Linked DNA regions of Saccharomyces cerevisiae S288C. Changing the gene in region 2 together with the main gene of any one other region gives a genetic interaction. Each region holds a gene or a part of one and is shown on either strand. Other genes may lie near its edges.

Evidence for each region.
Region 1: mutations in MLF3 (region 2) and VHS2 impair growth when combined (synthetic growth defect), as found in Saccharomyces cerevisiae (one study listed by BioGRID).
Region 3: of MLF3 (region 2) and PCL2, extra expression of one rescues a mutant of the other (dosage rescue), as found in Saccharomyces cerevisiae (one study listed by BioGRID).

What each region holds. Positions count from the first base shown.
Region 1 is NC_001141.2:94,524-98,434, reverse strand, and holds VHS2 (Vhs2p), read left to right. Parts: upstream 1-2,059; coding exon 2,060-3,370; downstream 3,371-3,911. Other genes in the region: flavin adenine dinucleotide transporter FLX1, read right to left, coding at 105-1,040; YIL134C-A (uncharacterized protein), read left to right, coding at 1,710-1,913; OM45 (Om45p), read right to left, coding at 3,635-3,911. UniProt on the Saccharomyces cerevisiae protein: Can suppress the synthetic lethality of the hal3 sit4 double mutation when overexpressed, suggesting that it is involved in the G1-S transition.
Region 2 is NC_001146.8:486,108-490,071, reverse strand, and holds MLF3 (Mlf3p), read left to right. Parts: upstream 1-1,947; coding exon 1,948-3,306; downstream 3,307-3,964. Other genes in the region: lysine--tRNA ligase MSK1, read right to left, coding at 1-1,686; snoRNA-binding rRNA-processing protein IMP4, read right to left, coding at 3,593-3,964.
Region 3 is NC_001136.10:232,989-236,362, forward strand, and holds PCL2 (cyclin PCL2), read left to right. Parts: upstream 1-1,938; coding exon 1,939-2,865; downstream 2,866-3,374. Other genes in the region: VCX1 (Vcx1p), read left to right, coding at 1-899; AAA family ATPase CDC48, read right to left, coding at 3,169-3,374. UniProt on the Saccharomyces cerevisiae protein: G1/S-specific cyclin partner of the cyclin-dependent kinase (CDK) PHO85. Essential for the control of the cell cycle at the G1/S (start) transition. Together with cyclin PCL1, positively controls degradation of sphingoid long chain base kinase LCB4.

The DNA.
Region 1 (3,911 bases), on a different chromosome or scaffold from region 2:
TCCCCGTTACAGTTTAGATTACCTCCCCTTTTTCTTTCGTACTTTTTATATTTTTATCGTTTGATATTTACAAGAAATTAAATCTATCATATAGCCTTTATTTACTAAAGCCTATGCTTAAGGTTCTCGTATACACAAAAGGTAATGCAAGTGGATGGAATGGCCCGTACTAAGTTTGCAGATAGGCCCTTATAAAGTCCAACAAAACCATCATTAGCAATGATTAATTTTATCAAAGGAAAGAGCCTAAATTTTTGCTCATTGGCCCTGAAACTTTGTAAGTTTGATTTCAATAATTGAAAAGGGTAAACCAAAGTGACGGAGACCATTTTTCCCAACGATGTGATTTCAATGGTTTCAAGATTTGTTAAATGGATGTCAAGCCCATTTTCCCTCTTCCGTCGCAATTTTCTTTGCTTTAAGGTATCGTAAACTGCAAAATATAAGGCACCTTGCGAAACACCAAACAGTGCGGGTACAAGGCCCTTCCATAGGCCCTGGAAGCCATCAGTTCGTAACAGTTGTTGGACACCGTTGTACATAGAAGTGTACGCTCCTTGGGCGCCTTTACTTGTAGACATTATCCTGGTCTTTATAACCCAGATAGGGTTTGTTAGGATAGCTGTCATCAACCCACTGGAAGCACCGGCAGACAAATAAATAAGCGAATTCATTTTGTGGTCGTTCCCAACACCTTTAAGCTGTGTTTCCCCTGGCTTTGCCACTGACTTGTATATCAATTCTTTCGTGACACCATATAAACCGAAATAAACTCCCCATGCAATGGCATTTCCAAACAAATTTATGCTTAATCCGCGATACAGTTCGTTCGTAACACTACGTCCACTATTCGCCGACGAACGTATAATCTCTTTGATTACCATAAATGGGCCGTAATGGGCCTTTTGTGCGCTTGTAGCGGATAATTGCAAACGAACCTTCAGTAAATCTAATGGATGCACTACCAATGTGGTGACGGATCCCGCGGACAGACCTGAGATAACCTCCTTCTGCAGTGGCGTCCACTGGTGATCGACCATATTATCAAGAGCTTCCTGCTGCGTGCTGGTTTTGCAAAGTACAAAGACAAGATATTGTACATATTCCTATGAAAGCTACTGCTCTTCACGTACTCCTTCACTTTTTTTTTTTCAGTTTAAGTTTTCCAATTTTTTTGTAAGATGAACCTTTCAGCAAATCTGTTAAGAGTCAATTTCCTCGGTAAGAAATATAAAATATAAATGAATATAGATTATAAAACAGACTGTACTTAAACAGCCCCCGTCAATACGATAACGCAGTAAAATAAATGCTCATCATGATAAATCCAACAAAAAAATAAACGGAAGGAAACTGAAAAGAAAAAAAAAGGAAACGAAGAAAAACATAATTTATCGTTTGATAGCAGTAAGTCGCAGATCAAGTCGCGCCTGTATCCTTACAAACATGACGACATTGAGCTGTACAAAGCTATGACCAACCGTTCCATAATTAACTCTTTTCAACACATTGAAAATAAGACTTCCCCCATCGAAGCATCAAGTTCTTGCATGTCACAAGATACTTGATCGTAACCTCCTGAAGGTCCCTTTCAGAAACACATGGAGTGTAGTTTACTAGGAAGGAAGAAGAGACATCGAAAACTTTTTCACTTTATATAGGTGAGAAAAATGGTGCAAGAGAGCATGACCGTGTATGGTGACATATAAATGGTTGTTGGCAGCGAATTTAACAACACTGCAGATGTAGATGTCGTAGCTATCCTTCTCACGTTGTTGAATGCTGACTATTTTGTTATTAAGCAACGCCTTGTTAGTGCTTGTTTTACAAAGCGTATTAAATGGTATTTTATTTATGCTATCGCTTTATTATCTTTATTTTCATCACGTAACACGGTGTGTGCGCCATATTAATGTTGCAACAGTCGTGAGGTGATTAACAAACAGTATCAGACTAAACTCACCCTTTGGTGATATGCAATTTCTTGAGGCGCAAAAGGTTGATCCTGAAAGCTTTTGTGATAGACTACCTTCAAGCAAAGCGAACGTAAACGGCAAAGATGGATACCAGCAACCACAACCAAGACCACGACTCCCACGTGGCGGCACAGAGGGAGAACGACAATAATTATATGCCACCTTCCCCCTCCATGAGCGAGAGTTCTATGATTTTTGAAAGAAATGTAGAGGACCCATCATACCTTTATAAAACGGTGTCAAACAACGCTGCAAACTCTCTCTCTAGGCAGAGCAGCAGGACCAGTTTGTTCAATCATAATAATTCTAGTAATAGGAACTTCCATAACTTAAGCCAGAGATCGTCTGCTGTGAATCTACATTTGCAACCTTCTAGGACTAATGAGTCAATAGCATCGTACCAGACATACAATCCGGATTTTGTTGTGCAGACTCCACTGGATCACCGTCGTACCTTAGAGAATTTCGTCCCTCCTGCATTAGACGCTGGCTGTTCTATTGTAACTGACGACACGACTGGCCTTGATGACGTTGATATGGTTTATTCGAGAAGGCCATCTACCATCGGCCTGGATAGAGCCCTAGGTAGGACAAGAAGTCTTTCGTCACAATCTTTTGATAACGAAACGTCGCCTGCGCATCCAAGATCTCCCAACGACCATGGTTCAAGACTACTAAGGTTTTATTCCTACGCTGACATGTTGTCCGATGACAACAATAACAACGTTAGTAATGCGACATCAACATCATCAACTGCGAACCCCTTGAGAAGACCCCCAATGCAAGGTCACTACTCGTTCTCGTCGTCCCTTTTGAATTCTCCTTCTCATTTGCCTTCCCCCCCATCAGCTTCGGCATCACCACCTCAGCATATGAACTTCACCAACCCTTTCATCATATCTAGACGTTACTCTAACACAACGATCAACAATGCCAATGGGGGAACCAGCGCTGGAAGCACTACGGGGGCCGCACTATCAAGATCGCCATCGAACCAACAGTACTTACTTAAACAACAAAGGTCACCTTCAGGGAGCGCCCGTTCAAGAAGAAACAGCAATAGGCCCGGCAGTGCTGCCAACATTATGATCGGGAAACCTAAATCCAAATTCCATATGGAATCCAGTGGCAGTGAAGGGTTTTCTTCCGAAGAGGAGGACAACACTATGATTGAAAGAGATAAACTCAATCTAAAGCAAAAATTGCAGTCACAACTGGCACAACCACCATCAATTGCCAACATGGTTAACGATAATCACAATAATACTAATAAACACAAGAATACTATTAATAATAACATCAAAAATAGCCCTGCGTTCACAAACTCGAATCCAAGTTCAAAATCAAATTCAAACTCTACAATAACCTCTATGAATCCAGACACAACCAAATAAAGAAAACTGAAGGGCCGCGATTGTTCATTTCTTCAACCTTCTTCTCCTACTCTAAAAATTCATTTAAGTCTCTTTTTTCCATATATATAGATATATAACGGTATTTTATGTATGCACGTATACCCCAATAATGCCACTAATTTACTCCGTTTTCCAATCCATAATCAGCAAAGACCATATGTGATTTCAAATATAAAAAATGAGAAACATGTGAATATGTATATATGTTATGCGGGAACCAACCCTTTACAATTAGCTATCTAACTAGTCCTTTTTCGAGCTCCAGAATTTACCATCACCCTTATCATTCCATTCTTTGAATTTGTTCTTGGCTTCATCGTACTTTTTCAACGCTTCATCGTACTTCTTTTGGGCCTCATCTTTTAAAGCCTGCTTGTCATTGTCGACCTTGGAAGTCCATCCAGACCACCAGTGGCTGCCGTACTGTTTCAAGTCCTCCTTCGCCTTAGATAACGAGTCCATGGCATCGGACACGTTCTTATCCAGTTGTTTCTTTGAATTCTCATAATTCCATCTTAAA
Region 2 (3,964 bases):
TTCTATCCTCTTCTTGTCGCAAAATAGCATGCACAATCTATCTATGCCAAGGCCAAAGCCACCTACTGGAGGCATACCGTATTTCATCGTCTCAACATACTGGTAGTCAATAACAGGCGATAAGGTCTCAGTTTTGTTTCCTGTCAATTCGTTAATCTGCTTTTGTTGTAGAAACTTCTGCAGTTGTAATTGGGGGCAATTTTCCTCTTCGTAAGCATTGATGTATTCCTTACCTTTGATGAAGACTTCGAATCTCTTCGTGACTTGCTTATTTTGCGGATCCGTCTTGGCTAAGGGCGATAATATTGCAGGTTGATGGTATATTACCGTAGGCAAGGTTGATTGACAATGGCGCTGCTCGAGGAACACGTCCGATAGTTTATTTAGGATTTGCAGCGAAGATAATTGCCCAGTGTTATCTGCAGAAGGAAAATACTTCTTCGCAATGTCTTTCGGTAAAGCCTTCAAAAGTTCGCTCGGCTTATTGATATCCAATCCAGAGTTCATTAGATCAATGCCAAGCTCTTTGTTCAAAGTGGGCAGGAATTCGACTTTTCTAAACTTCCAATTATTCTCGGATAGTGCCAGATGTAATTCACTAAACGTCTTAGGGACAGGCAGACGGGTATCTTGAAAGAACTTTTGCAAGTTAGTAATCAAAAATTTGAACAAATCTTCAGTCCTTGTGACTATATCGTCCATTGACATGTAAGTTTCATAGAATTCTAAAGTGGAAAACTCAGCATTATGCGTGGAATCAATGCCTTCGTTTCGAAAGACCTTTCCTATTTCGTATACTTTTTGTAAACCACTAATTATAAGCCTCTTCAGCCATAATTCTGGTGCAATACGCAACTCCAAATGGTCGAAGTCCTTGGACGACGTTATAAAGGGCTTCGCCATGGCACCGTTGGACTTTGATGACAGTATAGGCGTTTCAACCTCAACGAAGTTTCTGTCGTCGAGAAACTTCCTCAAAAGTTTGATGATACGCGCCCTTACTAGCAGTGTCTGAGTGCCGTTTAATTGGTAGTCAACAACTCTATTAGATTTGATCTTGGTTTCATCATTCAGTCTGGAAGGTAACGGCAGTTGCGAAACAGACAATACTATAGGTAGCTTATTACATATCAAGGACAGCATCTTGACTCTGGATTGGGAAAACCCGGGATAACCGAGCGCCTTAATATAATCTCCTTTCTTCAAAAAGTTCATATATTCTGAGAAATTCGCCTTATCCTCACTACTCCCACCAATTTTATTGTAGTTTACGATCAACTGCAGTTGCGTATCATTCTTCAATCCGCTACTGCCGTTGTAAAGATCTATAAAAACAATCTTCTGGCCTGAAAACCTAATGCTTTTAATCCTGCCATTAATACTAAGTAACAAATTAGGATTATCCTCATGGTGTAATGTGGCTGGGTTGCCCAAGAATCTCTCATTAAAGTCTGCGATAGTGACTTCTTTATACTCCTGGCAAAGATCGTGGAGTGCTGATTCTGACATTGACGGATAGTATCTACCCAGGTCCTTCACAATCTGACCGTTCCTCCTGGTTGCCTCCATCTTACTTGTGTCGACCGCGTGTGCCAGAGAATACGGCCTGCTCCTGCTACTTCGACACTTGCACCACAGCCATCTCGGTGCAAACGTTAAACTGCGTCTTTTTAACAGCACATTCATCGGCAATCATGTAACATAACACCATTATAAAAGTATCCCACTATTCACCGTCATTTCGGGTACTAATTAAAGCCTCTCTTTTAGTATATTTATCTCGGCGAAGAGCACTCCGCGGCGCCCAGGGGATTAGATTTTCGCTTTTATCACGAATAAAAGACTAATCCTTTCACAGATCTAAATATTTCAAATAGGAACAGGTACGGTAAAAAGAGCTTGAGGAGAATCTAAGTGCTGTCAAAGGAAACTGCCAAAAAAGACGGTATGTGCGTGTACAAGTCAAATTCGAACAACAGCAACCCTTCTTTTATCTTCGAAAGAACCGTGCAAGAGGCAAGTTCAAACGATTTATTTCTTCAACCTCCGGTTTCCGCCTCCAACACATCTCATAGCTCAAGATCTAATAGTTTTTACAACTTGCAGACCATTTCTCCGATACCTATCTCTGGTAGCGAGGTTAGAACTCCATCGTTGAGGAAGAACTCCAATAATGTTTCCTCTCCGCTAGATAACGTCATACCAACGTCTAGGTCGGCGTCGAACTCCACCACAAGCTCGCTAGCACATCAAGAGTACATCTTGAACCCCATTTGCAACATGCAAAATCATCACCATCGCCGTCGTACGTTAGAAAACTCGGTGGCTCCAGCTTTAGATGCTAGTTGCTCAATAGTGAACGATGAGAACACTGACCTGAGCGATGTCGATATGGTTTATTCAAGAAGACCTTCCTCTGCTGTGAGCCTAAACATGGCCCTGTTGGCTAGAACGAATAGTGCCACTCTTCCCTCATCAGAATCTTCGCCAGCATCGCCAGATCTTAAACTTTCGAGATCTCATTCGCATTCTGCGGCTACACGTCCCACCTTGAATAACATCAATAACACCGGGATGACCACCACAACTTCAAATGGCGAACCAAACTCCAGAATACTAAGATTCTACTCTTACGTCGATATGTTGAATGATGAAAAACTTGCACAGGCCAATAATACGCCTACATCTAGACCACCTATGAAATCCCAAGCGTACTCATGCCCTTTCATCCTCAAGAGGTCCCCACCACAAGCCTATTCTTCATCGTCAGCAACAACGACATTTTCCAACCCCTTCATCAAAACTACAGAATTACCAGCTACTTCGCCTTATGTATCTCCGCAGCAATCTGCGAGACAATATTCAAATAATGCTAATAACAATGCAAAATCCCCAAAAAACCGGTCATCTTCGATACTATTTCAAAGACAATCCATTTTATCAAACGTTGACCCTGTTGCAAACATGCACAAGAATCCCAAGTTCCAAATAGAATCAAGTGACAGCGAAGAAGAAGATTTAACCATGGACATGCTAGATCCTTCCTTTCCGTTAAGTTCGTCTTTGCGTTCAAGTGCAAACTTGGCAAGTAATCCCGAATTAGCAACCCAGACGCCTTTATCGACATCTTCGTCATATACAGCAATAGGCAAGCCCATGCCTTTATCAACAGATCCTTCTTACGTGTCTTCTTCTAATACGTTATCCTCCGAACATGAGTTAAGAGTTGAAAAAGTCAGTGAAGTGCTTAAGAAAAAAGTTTCAAATGGTGGATTTTCAACTGAATTTAATAGTTGTGATACATAAATTTCCTTTCTGCACCTCTTCCCTTCGTTCGTTTTGTTCTTTTAAATTTATGTCTTCATATGGTTATTTTTTTTATGTAGATACTCTCACAGATACATTGATAAACAATTAAGAAAAAAAAAAAACGCAAAAATAAAAATAAATCATGTGTTATGCTATCTCTTCTTTTCTCTTATATTCCCTCTAAGACGCTTTTTTTTTTTTTTTTTTTTTAAGAATACCATATTAGACTTACATAAGGCCTCATCGGCCTTCTATTTTAACCTTTACAAATCTATAAAAAAATTCACAAATAGTCTTTTTTATTGGCAGTCCTTATGAATCTTCTCAACTGCCACTCAACATCAGCGTCCTTATTTTCTAAAGTTCCCAACCTCAGTTCAAACAACCTCATCTCAAATCTAGGACCAACTTCGGCAATCTCTACTCCCTCTCTTGTTCTCACATATACATGCTGTCTAACGCTAATGAAATCACCCCTATTCGCAAAAGTGATTACTCTTTCGGAATCTTTTTTGGGCCCCGCATTGAACAAGTGCTTTAAAATACAGACTACTCTTTTCCCTAAAGCGGTAGTAAAGTTATCAAATATTAGATGTGGATTCACTTCGCTTTGGTTACCAGCATTTATAATATCATGTCTCATAACAACATTGTG
Region 3 (3,374 bases), on a different chromosome or scaffold from region 2:
CCCTGAAAAAAGGTCAAGTGAGAATTGTGCAGGCCTCGATGCTAGGTAGTCTTCTTTCTAATTTGCTGTTAGTGCTTGGATTATGCTTCATATTCGGTGGATACAATAGAGTCCAACAGACATTCAACCAAACCGCCGCTCAAACAATGTCCTCATTACTTGCCATTGCGTGTGCATCCCTACTGATTCCCGCTGCCTTTAGAGCCACCCTACCTCATGGCAAGGAAGACCACTTCATCGATGGAAAAATATTGGAGTTATCCAGAGGCACCTCTATTGTTATTCTCATCGTTTACGTTTTGTTCTTATATTTCCAGCTAGGGAGCCATCACGCCTTGTTTGAGCAACAAGAAGAAGAGACCGATGAAGTTATGAGCACCATTTCCAGGAATCCACATCACTCTTTGAGTGTCAAGTCATCATTGGTGATACTTCTAGGTACAACTGTGATCATCTCTTTTTGTGCGGATTTTCTAGTCGGTACGATAGACAACGTTGTTGAATCTACCGGGCTATCTAAAACATTTATAGGTTTGATTGTCATTCCTATTGTGGGTAATGCCGCAGAGCATGTCACTTCAGTCTTGGTGGCCATGAAGGATAAGATGGATCTGGCGCTAGGTGTTGCCATCGGTTCCTCTTTACAAGTTGCCTTATTTGTTACACCATTCATGGTTCTTGTGGGCTGGATGATCGATGTTCCAATGACGCTAAATTTCTCCACTTTTGAAACCGCTACTCTTTTTATTGCTGTTTTCTTATCCAATTACTTAATTCTCGATGGTGAGTCAAACTGGTTGGAGGGTGTCATGTCTCTAGCTATGTATATTTTGATTGCAATGGCATTTTTCTATTATCCAGACGAAAAAACCCTTGACTCTATTGGAAATAGTTTATGAGTAAGAACAGTAGCGCAGAAATTCACCATTCTCTTTTTTTTTATATTTTATCTTCTTCGTAATTCTATCGATGGACCAATACAAAGATGATTATGACTAGCAAGTCATTATTATGATCGTTATATTATACATATTATGTTTACGCAACTAATTTTTATATCGAATTTTATCTGAAAAAAAGTTTTCAAAACCAACAAAATATTTTGTACACTCTTCGAAACTCAAATTCTGCACCATTTCCATTCTGATAAAAGGTTTAATATTTCGAAGCTTCTCAACTACAGCTCGTGTTCTTCTTGCAGCACATCAGCTGCTTTGCTGCACTGTTCAGGGTAACGTTATTCATTACAACGAGAATATTTAGGAATTTTGCTCAAATTCATGGAGCTTCCTACATCATTGCACAACAGAATTTCGTTTTGTAGTATAGTTTATTAGAAACAAATGTGAATAGATCATGAGACGCGAAGCCCTATTTTAGCGGATTTTAGCCTTACATTTCTGAGTGAGAATGCCAGCTGAAACACATTCTTGTTACATCTGTCACGGCATTCCAGCTGTAAAAAACCAGCAGATATCGCATAAAAAAATGGCCAGCTATAGAATAAAATTAGCCCAGCTATATTTTTATAGCGTCTTTTGATGACGCGAAAAGTAGACTTCGCGTAACACGAAAAATGCTGGTGCAGGTGGATTTTTTTGGCAGATACTACGGTCAATTCTCCGCTCGAAGATTTTTATAGGCCTGGCTAGTTACCTATTTAGTGCAAATTGGGAAGAGATCTATTGTTCCCGCAGACACGCTAAGTGGTAGCTGTAACTTCGGAGACGTGTGAGACCTTCCTCAAACATGTTACAGGTTGATCGATTTACACATCTAATGCAAGTTTAAGTGCTTCTTAAGTGTTTTTTTCTTTAGTCTTATAAGTTCTCCTTTCTTTCACTTTATAATTCTCCTTTATAAAAGTAAGACCCGGTGCTAAACAACCTGATCCGACAAGAGCAATTTCAATACGGCAGCAACTTTTTACTACAAAAGATGTCAAACTACGAAGCCTTGCTGAAATTCAATAGGAAGGCTGTATCTAAGGAAATGGTGCAATATCTAGCATCGACCACAGCTTCCATTATCAAAATTAAGAAGACGAATAGTATGATAGATATTGCATTGCCAGCACCACCGTTGACTAAATTCATCAACAGACTGATCAAGCATTCTAACGTTCAAACTCCGACTCTGATGGCTACCTCTGTATATTTGGCCAAATTAAGATCAATAATACCGAGTAACGTTTATGGTATAGAGACCACCAGGCATAGAATATTCTTAGGTTGCCTAATATTAGCTGCAAAAACGTTAAATGATTCCTCCCCTCTTAACAAACACTGGGCCGAATATACGGACGGCCTTCTCATCCTAAGGGAGGTTAATACTATTGAAAGGGAACTATTAGAATATTTTGATTGGGACGTCACCATTTCCACAGATGATTTAATTACATGTCTCTCGCCATTCTTGAAGCCTATCAAAGAGGAGCAGTTGTACAAATCGCAAAGAGACTGTCGCACGTTGAAAAATTTTTCTGCTCAAGAAAAAGACATAGTAAACAAAACATCCATTTCCCATTCGCGCTCATCGTCCAATATGTCTATCCCATCTTTAGCTTCCACTTCGACCCTCTCCACGTTGGAATCTAGAAGATCGAATTTATCCAATTATAGTAACAGAATACGAACTTTGCCCGAACTACACGAATCCAATAACATTAGCGACAAGTTTTCTCCGCGAACATACAACATAGACTCCAAACACGATAACAAGGAAAATAGGCCAATACCGACAATTAAGCCTTTTAATTTTAGTAAAGCGCGCCCTGTGATCTTGAAAACTGGGTTAAACAAACAGATAATAAAAGAAGATACAAAAGTAAAGAAATCGAATTGGTCAAATTACTTCAAATCGTGATTTTAAATGTCGAAATTATGCCTGGCCTGCGTTTCTTCATGGCACTTTCGGAAAAGGCGGAAGAACACAGGTAAATGTTCTTACGACCGAGGTCCTACAGCCTCCCTTTTTTCTTATTTTACATATTAATATACATAAATATACCATAATGCATTCTTTTTCTAATGATTTAGCTCTCCTTTTTTTGACAAATTTGAAAATAAATATAAAAAGGGCCATAAAATATTGAGTTAAAATTGACGATTTTTTTTATAGAAATGACTTGAATTTACGATTTAAAATAAAAATATACCTGGCATATAACTAACTATACAAATCATCATCTTCCTCCGCATTAGAACCAAATGCAGCACCTGCTCCACTTGGAGCACTATTATTACTGTTAGCATTGTCCGTAGCCGTAGTACCTAATGGAGCGTCATTAAAGTTGAAATTACTGAATTGACCTCTAGATGCTTTCATTTGCTGTGAGTATGCTTCATAACGACGCAATTCAGCATCTGAAACAG